2 linked regions of the Caenorhabditis elegans genome follow. The protein of the gene in region 2 purifies or fractionates together with the protein of the main gene of each other region. This does not show direct contact. Each region holds a gene or a part of one and is shown on either strand. Other genes may lie near its edges.

Region 1 (4,971 bases), on a different chromosome or scaffold from region 2:
ATTTTTCAGGTTTTCTAGTCAGAAAATCGCGGAAATTCTCGATTTTTGCTGTAAAAACCAAGAAAATTCCGTTTTTGAGGAAAAAATTAAGATTTTTCGAAATTGGGTCTGCAAAATGTTTAGCAGACCAAAATTGGGTATGCTAAATATTTAGCAGACCATACTGGGGTCTGCTAAATATTTAGCAGACCATACTGGGGTCTGCTAAATATTTAGCAGACCATACTTGGGTCTGCTAAATAATTAGCAGACCAAAGTTGGGTATGCTAAATATTTAGCAGACCAAAAATGGGTCTGCTAAATATTTAGCAGACCCATTTTTTTTCGAATTTATGTTCAAAATTGAGTTTTTTCCCAGAAATTCTCGATTTTTGATGCAAAAACTCGGAAAAATCAGTTTTGGATAGTCGAAATGTAAAATTTAGCGATTTTCAACCGCAAAATTGGAATTTTTCGCCATTTTTCCATTTTCCATCAAAACCTCACTCGTTTCGTTTCAGGACACGCGCAGCACGCTTTCAGCTTCTTCTCCGGTGCCACGCTGCCGGCTTCTGTGGATTTTTGTGGCTCTGCTGGCATTTTTTTGGGTGCTAAAATTATAGATTTTACAGATAAAAATGGAGTTTTAAAGATATTAAAAACGACATTCGCCAAAAATTTTCAGAAAATCGGATAAAAATTGCAGCTACAACTCCGTCAATATAATTCATGGAAAGAGTATCGTTGCAAAAAAAATGGGGGTCAAAGGGGGGAAATTTCAATGAATAATATCGATAATAAATAGGCAAAACACACACAAATCAGGCGGAAAATCTACTATTCTGATCGGTTTTTTTGGGGTGAGGATGGTACGAATTGGTAAAAAGAAATACCAGTGGTGCGGGGGGTTGGGGACGAAAATTTCTCGGAAAAAAATGGAAGAAATAAGGGATTTTTAGGACACAAACTTCAAGACAAGAGGCTCACAGAAAAAATTCAAAAAAATCGAATAAAAAAGAATTTAAGAGAAAATGTAGACCGTCGAGCGATTGATGTCCCAATTGTTGCAGCTGAGCACGCTGACAGCCTCTTCCTCACGGACTCCCATATCCTTGAGCTTGTCGACGAGAGCCTGGTATCCGGCGTTTTTCACGGCTCCCTTTGCGAATTTTGTCGTCCAGTACTCGGCGGTGGCCTGAAAAATGGTGGAAATTTAGTATATTAAGAGCATATTAGGCTATTATTCAGTTTATGTTGTCTATGTTTGTCTATTTTCTAGGCTACCTAAAGTTTTCAAGCGTGGAAATTGAGAAAATTCGAATGAAAACCAATTTTTTTTTTGAGATTTCTCGAGTTTTTACACTCACTGGAAACAACGAATTTTCGGGGAAATTCGAGTTTTTAGACTAAAAACAACTTCGCCAAATTTGTTGAGTTTTGGGTCTGCTAAACTTTTTTATAATTTCTTTTTGAAAAACAAATTTCGATATGAGCTGAAAAACTGATTTTTCTCGGCTTCTGGGACAAAAAGTGATGAATTTGAACGATTTCCTGGTTGAAAAACAAGAAAAAACCAGTAAATTCCGCGAAAAAAACTAAATTTAAAGGATAAATACGGGATTAGGGTCTGCTAAATATTTAGCAGACCATACTTGGGTCTGCTAATTATTTAGCAGACCATACTTGGGTCTGCTAATTATTTAGCAGACCATACTTGGGTCTGCTAAATATTTAGCAGACCATCGAAAACCACGTGGCGTTTCTACAAGCCTGCTAATTAGTTGGCAGACCCAAATTCTAAAGAAAATCGGCCAAATTCTGAAATTTCAGGGCAAAAATCAATAATTTTCCGAGAAAATCGTGCATTTCAGTGTAAAACAGTCAGAATTGTCTCCAAAATTCGGGAATTAACGAATTTTGCACGTTTCCCATCGAATTTTCTCAATTTTGACGCTTCAAAACTCGAGTTGGCCTGAAAAATGGGAAATTATAGATAATTTTTGGGGCAAAATACGCAAAAAAACACACAAAATAAGGGAAGATTTGGGTCTGCTAATTACTTAATTACTTAGCAGACCCATATTGATTTTTTAATCGGATTTCGCAATATTTTCCCCATTTTTCCGCGAATTTTCTGAATTTTCCACGCTGCTACCTTGAAAACTGCTGGCTTCTCCATGTATTGCTTGGCGACGACGGCATCTTGAGGATCCTTGGGCTCCGGTGTGCACATCAACGCCTGAATCGACAGGAGAACCGTGCGAAGAGTCAGCGAAGCGGCCCTGAAGTTGAAAATAAATTAAATTTTCCGATTTTAAAATAATAATCGCAATATTACCATTGATCCTTAAGAATATCGAGGCAAATGACGCCGGTCTGCGAGCTGACATTCGGGTGCCAGATTTTTGTGCTGAACTTGACCTGAAAAACCGCGATTTTTACACAAATTTCGACAATTTTCAAGCTTTCCAGGCAGAAAAACTCGTACATTTGGTGGCGAGAATGGATATTGGTCTGGAATCTTAATATCCAAATCGAACATTCCACCGGCGTATGGAGTGTCTGGTGGACCGCGGATGTGTCCCTGAAAACCGATAAAAATTGAGATTTCCGACACACAATTCGCGGCGTTTTACCTTGATTTCGGTGAGATTCTCGTTCAATATCTCGATCATAATTCCGGTTTCGCTGATTTCCGAGTTTGTGACGACCTCTTTGCATTCTCGTTGGAGTCTGTTGAATGCTATGTTCGACATGGTCTGAAAACGATGGAAAATAGTGGAAAAACTCTGAAAAATCGACGAAAATCATGAAGTTCAAGGAATTATCGAAAAAGCTTCGAGAAAGTCTGAAATTATCATCAAAATTATTCAAACACCAACTCATGATAAACAGGGCGCGCCGCGGAATTTCGGAGCATCGTTTGCAACTGAAATTTTTGTTTTTCCCCGAATTTCATCGATTTTTCATCGTTTTTCGTGAATAAAAATCAAAAATCATGTAGAAAAATGTTGAAAAACCAATTTTTATGCGAAAAATTGCTTAAATCACAGTAAAATTGAACAAAAACCCGGAAAAACCGGAGAAAACCGTGCGTTAAGTCGGAGCATCGTTGTCGCCGAGAAAAAACGGGTTCAAACGATCAAACCCGTGATCGGAAGTATCGATTCACAGATTGATTAAGTTTTTATAGGAATTTTAGTTTTTGCATCATGATTTTTCTCAAAAAAGAAAATTGAACGTTTTTGCCGAAATACTTCTAATTTTCTCAAGGTTTAGAGGGAATTTCCATTTGTTTATTGAGAAACCCGTTCAGAAAATATCTAGAATTGATTGAAATCTTCAAAAAAAATCTTGCCAGGGAACAATTAGGTCTGCTAATTAATCAGCAGACCCAAATTTCAAAAATCCGCGTTTTTCTTCGTTTTTTTCCCAATTACTCTACTGAAATTCTCTGTTTTTCAGCCCAAAAATGTCTCGAAGCCGTTCCGCAGCTGCCAGCTCCTCTCAAAAGCCGGACGATATGGACCTAATGTCGCCGGACGGCTCGGCGAGCTCCCCATCGGCCCCAAACACGCCAGCGACGAATTCCGGCGGATTTAGCTCGGATAGAAAGAAGGCGACGCACTTGAGGTGTGAACGGCAGCGAAGAGAAGCTATAAATGTTTGTTGAAGCTTGGAAATTCGTGGAAAAAAGCTAAAATTTCAACTTTTCAGAGCGGATACAGTGATTTAAAGGATTTAATTCCTCAGACAACGACTTCGCTGGGATGTAAAACTACAAACGCCGCGATTTTATTCAGGTACTGGCTGAAAATACTGAAAAATTGAAGGAAAAATAACTGGAAAACATAAAAATTTGGGTCTGCTAAATATTTAGCAGACCATAGTTGGGTCTGCTAAATAATTAGCAGACCATACTTGGGTCTGCTAAATAATTAGCAGACCATAGTTGGGTCTGCTAAATAATTAGCAGACCAACGTGGATTTAGCATACCCAAATTGCGAAATTATCGAATTTTGATGACAATTTCAAGTTTTTTACATTAAAAAGCACGATTTTTTTCAAGAATTTCGTGTTTTTCAGCGGGAAAAATCACAATTCCAGTCTGCTAAGCCCATTTTTTGCTTAAAAACCTTCAAAATTCTGCAAATTTCCCCGAAAATTCAATAATTTCCAGAGCCTGCGACTTCATGTCCCAACTGAAAACCGACATCTCCGACGCCGACAAGCAACTGGCCCAGCTCAACGCACAAGCGGCCGCACTGGAAATGATTGCCTCAGAGTACGAGCAGATGGCTTCTTCGGTTCCTGACGCCGGCCAGTCCACGATTCAAGTCAAAATGGTTAGAATTTACTGAAATTTCCAGATTTTTAAGTCGAAATTCTCCAACTTTCAGCTCCAACTTCTCCTCGACGACTGCTTCACCTCGTTCTCCTCCCAAGTGGACTTCACCACGTACGCAACGATCACCAGAACGCTCCTGTCGTGGGTGGAGAGCCTGGCGCCAAATGCGGAGCCATTCAAGTCGACAGCCGGAAAAATGGTCACAATGCCCTTCACTTCGCCATAGTATTGAGAAGAATTTCCAGATTTTTAATCAACAAATGTATTATTCAACGCGTAAAAATGAAATTTAACAACAAAAAAGAAAATAGTTTGGAACATAAAATTAACTTTTGGTAGTTAATTGAAGAACTCGATCCAGAAGCTTCTGAGTAACTTCAGTGGACATTTCTGTGAACAAGTCAGAGGTTCTAACTTGTCTGGCCTTCTCTGTAGTCTCAATGGTTGAAATCGCGTGGTTCATGAGTTTCTCCAATTGAAATTTGTCAGCCAACCAAATCTTTGTTACATGATCGATTTCCGTGGATTTGAGAAGATGATTCTCTACGGAACTCGTAACGAACGGAACCATGAAACGATCAGCCAATTCCAGAAGTTTCTTGGCATTACTGTCCGTCGGGAAGTCATTTCCCGGGTGAATAAT
Region 2 (6,312 bases):
TTCGAGAAAATTGGATTTTGTAGTTTGTAGCACGAAAATTGTGTACTTTCCGCTGATTATTATCGATTCTGATATCAAAAATTGAATTCTACACACATTTTTACCCTTATGCAGCTTTTTTCCGCAAATTTTAGAATTCTCTGCACTTTTGCGTAAAGTGTTCCATGTTTGCGTACTTTTGAGGCTACAGTAACCCGGAAATTTTTATTACAACTCGAATGGAGTCGAAAAAGTCTCGTATGGGTGAAAAAACATAAAAATCCAAATTTAAAACTGATAATGCACAAAAATCAATAATTTTTTTTTGGCTCAACATTTCTGAAAATTATCATTTTTCACTGATTTTTTAAACGATTCTGACACAAAAATTGAATTCTACACAAATTTTTACCCATGTATGGCTTTTTTCGCGCATCTTTCAGGTTTCTGTGCATTTTTGCGTGAGTCGCATGGTGTTTGCGTACTTCTGAGGCTACAGTAACCCAACTTATCGATTTCAGCGCCAAAAAGGAGCCGGAAAAACCGGAATAGATGTGAAATAACGCAAAAATTCAAGATTTTCAAGAAAAAAGTAGTTTTTAGTCTAAAAATTGCTATCAAAAATTGGTCTGCCAGACTACAAACTACAAAAAGCTATTTAGCAGACCCAAGACTCTAAAATGGAGCAAAAACGGTGGCAAAAATCATCACATTTATTTATTCTTGAGGAGTTCTTTTTTTCGATAAATATACTTTCGATAGACATTAAAAAAATTGAATTTTAACAGAAAATAAATAGGAAATAATCGAATATTCGGGGGAATGTACGTAAAGCATATCATTTTTTGGGAGGAAATTGACAATTTATTTGCTTCCAACAGTGACTTTCATGGCTTCGAGGCAATTGAGAATTCCGTCCGATTCTGGATTGCTTTTTGGACTTATCTGGAATTTTTTAAGGTTATTTTTAGAAAAATCACGATTTTTTTCGAATTTTTTTTTCAAAAAATTCAAGAAAAAACAGCCGAAATTCGGCATTTTTTGGAGTTTTTAGAGCTTTTTCCAATTAAAAACTATTAATTTTATCAAAATCTACCTTCTGATAACGATTAACCAAATTATCGATTGCATCAACTGCTGCAGCTCCGGCTTTCTTCTTTTCCGTCGCATTTTTGGTGGTCGCCGCGATCAAATTGTTGCTCTGAAACATTAATATAGACTACAAACTACAAACTACAAACTACAAACTACACTTACCAATAGAATTCCGTATTGAGATCTCAAATCGGTTGGGTTGATTTTGAGCGCACGTTCGTAGTAGGAACGAGCCAATTCCACGTTTTCGGCGCCTCCCTGCAAAAAATATAGTTTGGGTCTGCCAAATATGAATATGTAGTTTGTAGTCCAGCAGACCAATTTTTTCAAAATCACATGGGTCTGCTAAATCGAAATTTGTAGTTTGTAGTCCAGCAGACCAAGTTTTTCAAAATCACTTGGGTCTGCTAAATCGAACATTGTAGTTTTTAGTCTAGCAGACCAATTTCGAATTGAAATCACTTGGGTCTGCTAAATCGAACATTGTAGTTTGTAGTCTAGCAGACCAATTTTTTTCAAAATCACTTGGGTCTGCTAAATCGAACATTGTAGTTTTTAGTCTAGCAGACCAATTTCGAATTGAAATCACTTGGGTCTGCTAAATCGAACATTGTAGTTTGTAGTTTAGCAGACCAATTTTTTTCAAAATCACTTGGGTCTGCTAAATCGAACATTGTAGTTTTTAGTCTAGCAGACCAATTTCGAATTGAAATCACTTGGGTCTGCTAAATCGAACATTGTAGTTTGTAGTCTAGCAGACCAATTTTTTTCAAAATCACTTGGGTCTGCTAAATCGAACATTGTAGTTTTTAGTCTAGCAGACCAATTTCGAATTGAAATCACTTGGGTCTGCTAAATCGAACATTGTAGTTTGTAGTCTAGCAGACCAATTTTTTTCAAAATCACTTGGGTCTGCTAAATCGAACATTGTAGTTTTTAGTCTAGCAGACCAATTTCGAATTGAAATCACTTGGGTCTGCTAAATCGAACATTGTAGTTTGTAGTCTAGCAGACCAATTTTTTTCAAAATCACTTGGGTCTGCCAAATATGAATATGTAGTTTGTAGTCTAGCAGACCGAATTTCTTCAAAATCACATGGGTCTGCTAAATCGAAATTTGTAGTTTGTAGTCCAGCAGACCAAGTTTTTCAAAATCACTTGGGTCTGCTAAATCGAACATTGTAGTTTGTAGTCTAGCAGACCAATTTTTTTCAAAATCACTTGGGTCTGCCAAATATGAATATGTAGTTTGTAGTCCAGCAGACCAATTTTTTCAAAATCACTTGGGTCTGCTAAATCGAAACTTGTAGTTTGTAGTCCAGCAGACCAAGTTTTTCAAAATCACTTGGGTCTGCTAAATCGAACATTGTAGTTTGTAGTCTAGCAGACCAATTTTTTTCAAAATCACTTGGGTCTGCTAAATCGAACATTGTAGTTTTTAGTCTAGCAGACCAATTTTTTTCAAAATCACTTGGGTCTGCTAAATCGAACATTGTAGTTTGTAGTCTAGCAGACCAATTTCGAATTGAAATCACTTGGGTCTGCTAAATCGAAACTTGTAGTTTGTAGTCCAGCAGACCAATTTTTTCAAAATCACTTGGGTCTGCTAAATCGAACATTGTACTTTGTAGTTTGCATTGTAGCAGACCGTTCAATTTTTTTTAGTTTTCCTTAAAAAAAATCAATTTTCAATCATTTTCGGTAATTTCTCTATATTTTTTAAAAATTTCTTCATTTTTTGCATTAAAATAATATATTTTCGTTGAAAATTTGTTTTTCTGACATTTTTTTGACGGAAAACTGACAATTTTCGATTTTTTTTCTTCAAAAAAAAAAGTAGAAAAACGAGAAAAAACCAATTTCCATTGAAAATGTATTTGGGTCTGCTAAATATGAATTGTAGTTTGTAGCCCCCAGCAGGCCCAAATTTCTCCAATTTTCCACACACATACTTGAGTATATCTCAAATCGGCTAATCGTCTGAAATACATGGAATTCAGCGGCGAAATGAGCACACACTCCTCCAGGCAATGTACCGCCTTTGCCACGTCATTTTCGAGCAGGAAAAGCTCGCTGAGCTGAAGCCAAGCTTCTGGGTCGTTCAGGAAAATCTGAAAATTAATAAATTTTAGAGTTTTTTTTTTCTAGAAATCAAATGAAAACCTTCAGGTAATCGTTGATAGCTCGAATTGCGTCGAGACGCTTTCCCTGAGCGAGAAGAACCGCGACTTTTCGCTTGCGGAAGCTCTGAAAATTCAAATTATTAGAAATTTTGCAAAAAAAAAATTTCCTGAATTTTTTACATTATTATTGGGCTCATCCTCAACCAGTCGCTCATAAATATCCAACGCCTTCTGATAATGTTCCGTAGATTCCAACTGCATCGCTTTCAGCTTCAAAACTCGATTACTCTTCGGAAATTGTGCGTGAAGTTGGTCAATGCAATCCTGAGCCAGATCGACACGAGCCGCGTCGAGTGCTGCGATGCACACCTGAAAAAAATTGGAAAAATTAGGTGAAAATTCGATTTTCTCGTGAAAAATGAGTATGGGTATGCTAAATCGAAGCTTGTAGTTTGTAGTCTAGCAGACCAAATCTCCTCAAAACTACATTGGTCTGCTAAATATGAATTTGTAGTTTGTAGCCTAGCAGACCAAATTTCATCGAAACCACTTGGGTCTGCTAAATATGAATTTGTAGTTTGTAGTCTAGCAGACCCAAATTATTGAATTTTTTCTCGAAAATAATCATTTTTTCAGTAAAAAATGACCGTTTTTATTGATTTTTTCCAGTTTTTCGCCGAAATTTGTATTATTTTCACTATTAATCAACCAGAAACGTGATAACTTAGAAAAAAGCGTGGGTCTGCTAAATATAATACTGTAGTTTGTAGTCTAGCAGACCAATATGCTTTTCACCAAAAAAACCAGAAAATCTATGGTTTTTTTCTATTCAAAGCCAGATTTTCAGGATTTTCAGCGTTTTTCGACAAAATTTCAGCACCTGCTCCAACACAGCCCATTGCTCGTCTCCAAGAGAAGCCGGTGAGCGTGAAATAACGTGCTCCCAAATTTCGACGACCTCATCACTTCGTCGAACTCCGCATTCTCGCCACTTTTTCAGCGCTTGACGTCCTTCTGCAAGCATTTATCGATTTTTTTTTCAAAATTTGAATATTGTAGAATGTTACCATCGTAAGAGACTTGCGTCCACTCGGTTTCAACCATTTTCGGGAGGGAAATTTCTGAAAAATATTGATTTTTTCCAACTTTTTAATGGAAAAGTTCGGTTGGAAGGTATAAAAATAGCGAGAAAACTATAAAATAAACGGTTATAGCTGGAAAAAAGGAAAAAAAACAAAATTTATTATGCGATCACGGGGGAAAAAAAATTAAAATTCAGTGGTAAAGCAATAATTGTTGACCTAATCAAAAAGAAAACTATATTCTCAATATGAGAAAAATCGGAAATGAAAAGAAAAAAACAACATAATTATTCCATTGATGGATATTTCCAGTCAGTCAATGACACCGACGTCTCCTTAATCGTCAGCGGCGAGGTCCATCGGAGCCCATAGTGGGGGCCACCGGCCTTATCATTGGTTCCGGACAATCTGGAGCCTCCGAATGGCTGCTGGCCGACGATTGATCCAGTTGATTTGTCGTTGAGGTACATGTTGCCGACGGCGTCGCGGAGAACATCGCGAGCTCTGAGAAAAAAAAACACTTTGTTGAAAAACGTTTTTAACACAAAAATTCGCCTCAAAAATCTCGAAAAATCGATCGAAATCCAACAAAAATTCCAATAAAAAATACCGTAGCCCTTTAAAGGGACACACACTTTCACTGTTGGGTCTCGCCACGCTCAGGAACATCTTACTGTCGCTTTCAAATTTTTTGTTTGTTGTTATCGCTTTTTTTTTTCGATTTTTGCCAGTTTTTCTAGCTTTTCATTTGATTTGTGACGAAATTCGAGGGTTTTTATTGGAGAAATTGTGTAATTATCGTTTTTCGACATTTTTTAACCTATTTTGTTCGGTTATAGAGAAATTTCTTGAAAATTGCCGAAAAAACAGAATTTCAAGATTTCGAATTTTCCGGGAATAATTTTAAATCGACTTTTGGCAGTTTTCTTGTGCCTAAAATGTTGAATTTCAGCATTTTTGAACATAACAAACCCGAAAATTCGAGTTTTTCTTCTTTCCGCTGGGTTTTTAGATAAAATTTTTGAGTCCCTGAAAACCTGTGCAAAAACTTGTATTTTTTGTAGTTGCCAACCTATAAAGGAACTCCTTATCCTGCGAAAAAACGGCGCCAGTCAGCCCATAAGGTGTCGCGTCTTTCACAGTCGCGAGCACCTCATCAACCTTCGAATCCTCGTAGACCAGTACCGTCACCACCGGTCCGAACATTTCCTCAGTGAGAAGCTTGCTCTTCGGATCCGTCACAGTGATCAGGGTCGGCTCGATGAAGTATCCCGTTTTGTCGTCACATTTTCCGCCGAGCACCACATTTGCTCCGTCGGCTCCGGTTTTCGCAAAGTCAATGTAGGCCTTGAGCCTGGCAAACGCCTTATCATCGATCACAGCCGACAGAAAGACGGATCCATCGCGAACCTGTAAACTACAAACTACACAAAAATCGGCAAGCCAAACAGTGGCCTACATCTCCAAGCTTGATCTCTTTGTGAATCGCCGAGATTTTCTCGAGAATCTTTGGCCAAATCGATTTTGGCGCGTACATCCTGGAGCACGCCGAGCACTTTTGTCCCGAATATTCCCAGGCGGAACGGGCGGTTCCAGCGGCGACAGCGTCCACGTGGGCGGATGGATGCACAAAGTGGAAGTTTTTTCCGCCGCATTCTCCGATGAGTTTCGGAAAAGTCACATAGTTATCCAAATTCTCGGCGACTTTTCTCCAAATCGTCTTGAAAGTTGGCACGGAGCCAGTGAAATTGACAGCGCTCAAGTGTGGAGATGCGGTGATGACGTCACCGAAAACGGGGCCATCTGATGGCAAGAATGAGAGAATTCCAGGTGGCATACCAGCTTCCTCGAGGAGTTCGTAGATTATATAATTGGAGAGCACGGCGGTGTTCGATGGCTTCCAGAGGGAGACGTTACCCTGAAAAAATTGGGATAAAAATGATTTTTTTTTCGAGGGGAAAATGGCATTAAAATCGCGAATTTCATAGATTTCTCAAAAAAAAAAGTTAAAAATTCCAAAAAAATTGCCTGAA

Evidence for each region.
Region 1: the proteins of emc-2 (region 2) and ubc-20 fractionate together in Caenorhabditis elegans (co-fractionation; one large-scale study listed by BioGRID). This does not show direct contact.

The regions. Positions count from the first base shown.
Region 1 is NC_003281.10:186,605-191,575, reverse strand, and holds ubc-20 (UBC core domain-containing protein), read right to left. Parts: upstream 2,739-4,971; 5' UTR 2,736-2,738; coding exon 2,616-2,735; intron 2,564-2,615; coding exon 2,468-2,563; intron 2,401-2,467; coding exon 2,318-2,400; intron 2,262-2,317; coding exon 2,135-2,261; intron 1,175-2,134; coding exon 1,001-1,174; 3' UTR 629-1,000; downstream 1-628. Other genes in the region: cox-17 (Cytochrome c oxidase copper chaperone), read right to left, coding at 487-579; mxl-2 (Max-like protein homolog 2), read left to right, coding at 3,452-3,643, 3,697-3,782, 4,161-4,326, 4,381-4,554.
Region 2 is NC_003280.10:1,301,819-1,308,130, forward strand, and holds emc-2 (ER membrane protein complex subunit 2), read right to left. Parts: upstream 4,319-6,312; 5' UTR 4,302-4,318; coding exon 4,265-4,301; intron 4,212-4,264; coding exon 4,078-4,211; intron 3,734-4,077; exon of another isoform or gene 3,683-3,733; intron 3,567-3,682; coding exon 3,378-3,566; intron 3,322-3,377; coding exon 3,238-3,321; intron 3,186-3,237; coding exon 3,027-3,185; intron 1,333-3,026; coding exon 1,237-1,332; intron 1,181-1,236; coding exon 1,076-1,180; intron 925-1,075; coding exon 844-924; 3' UTR 681-843; downstream 1-680. Other genes in the region: alh-6 (L-glutamate gamma-semialdehyde dehydrogenase), read right to left, coding at 4,567-4,783, 5,352-5,689, 5,739-6,197.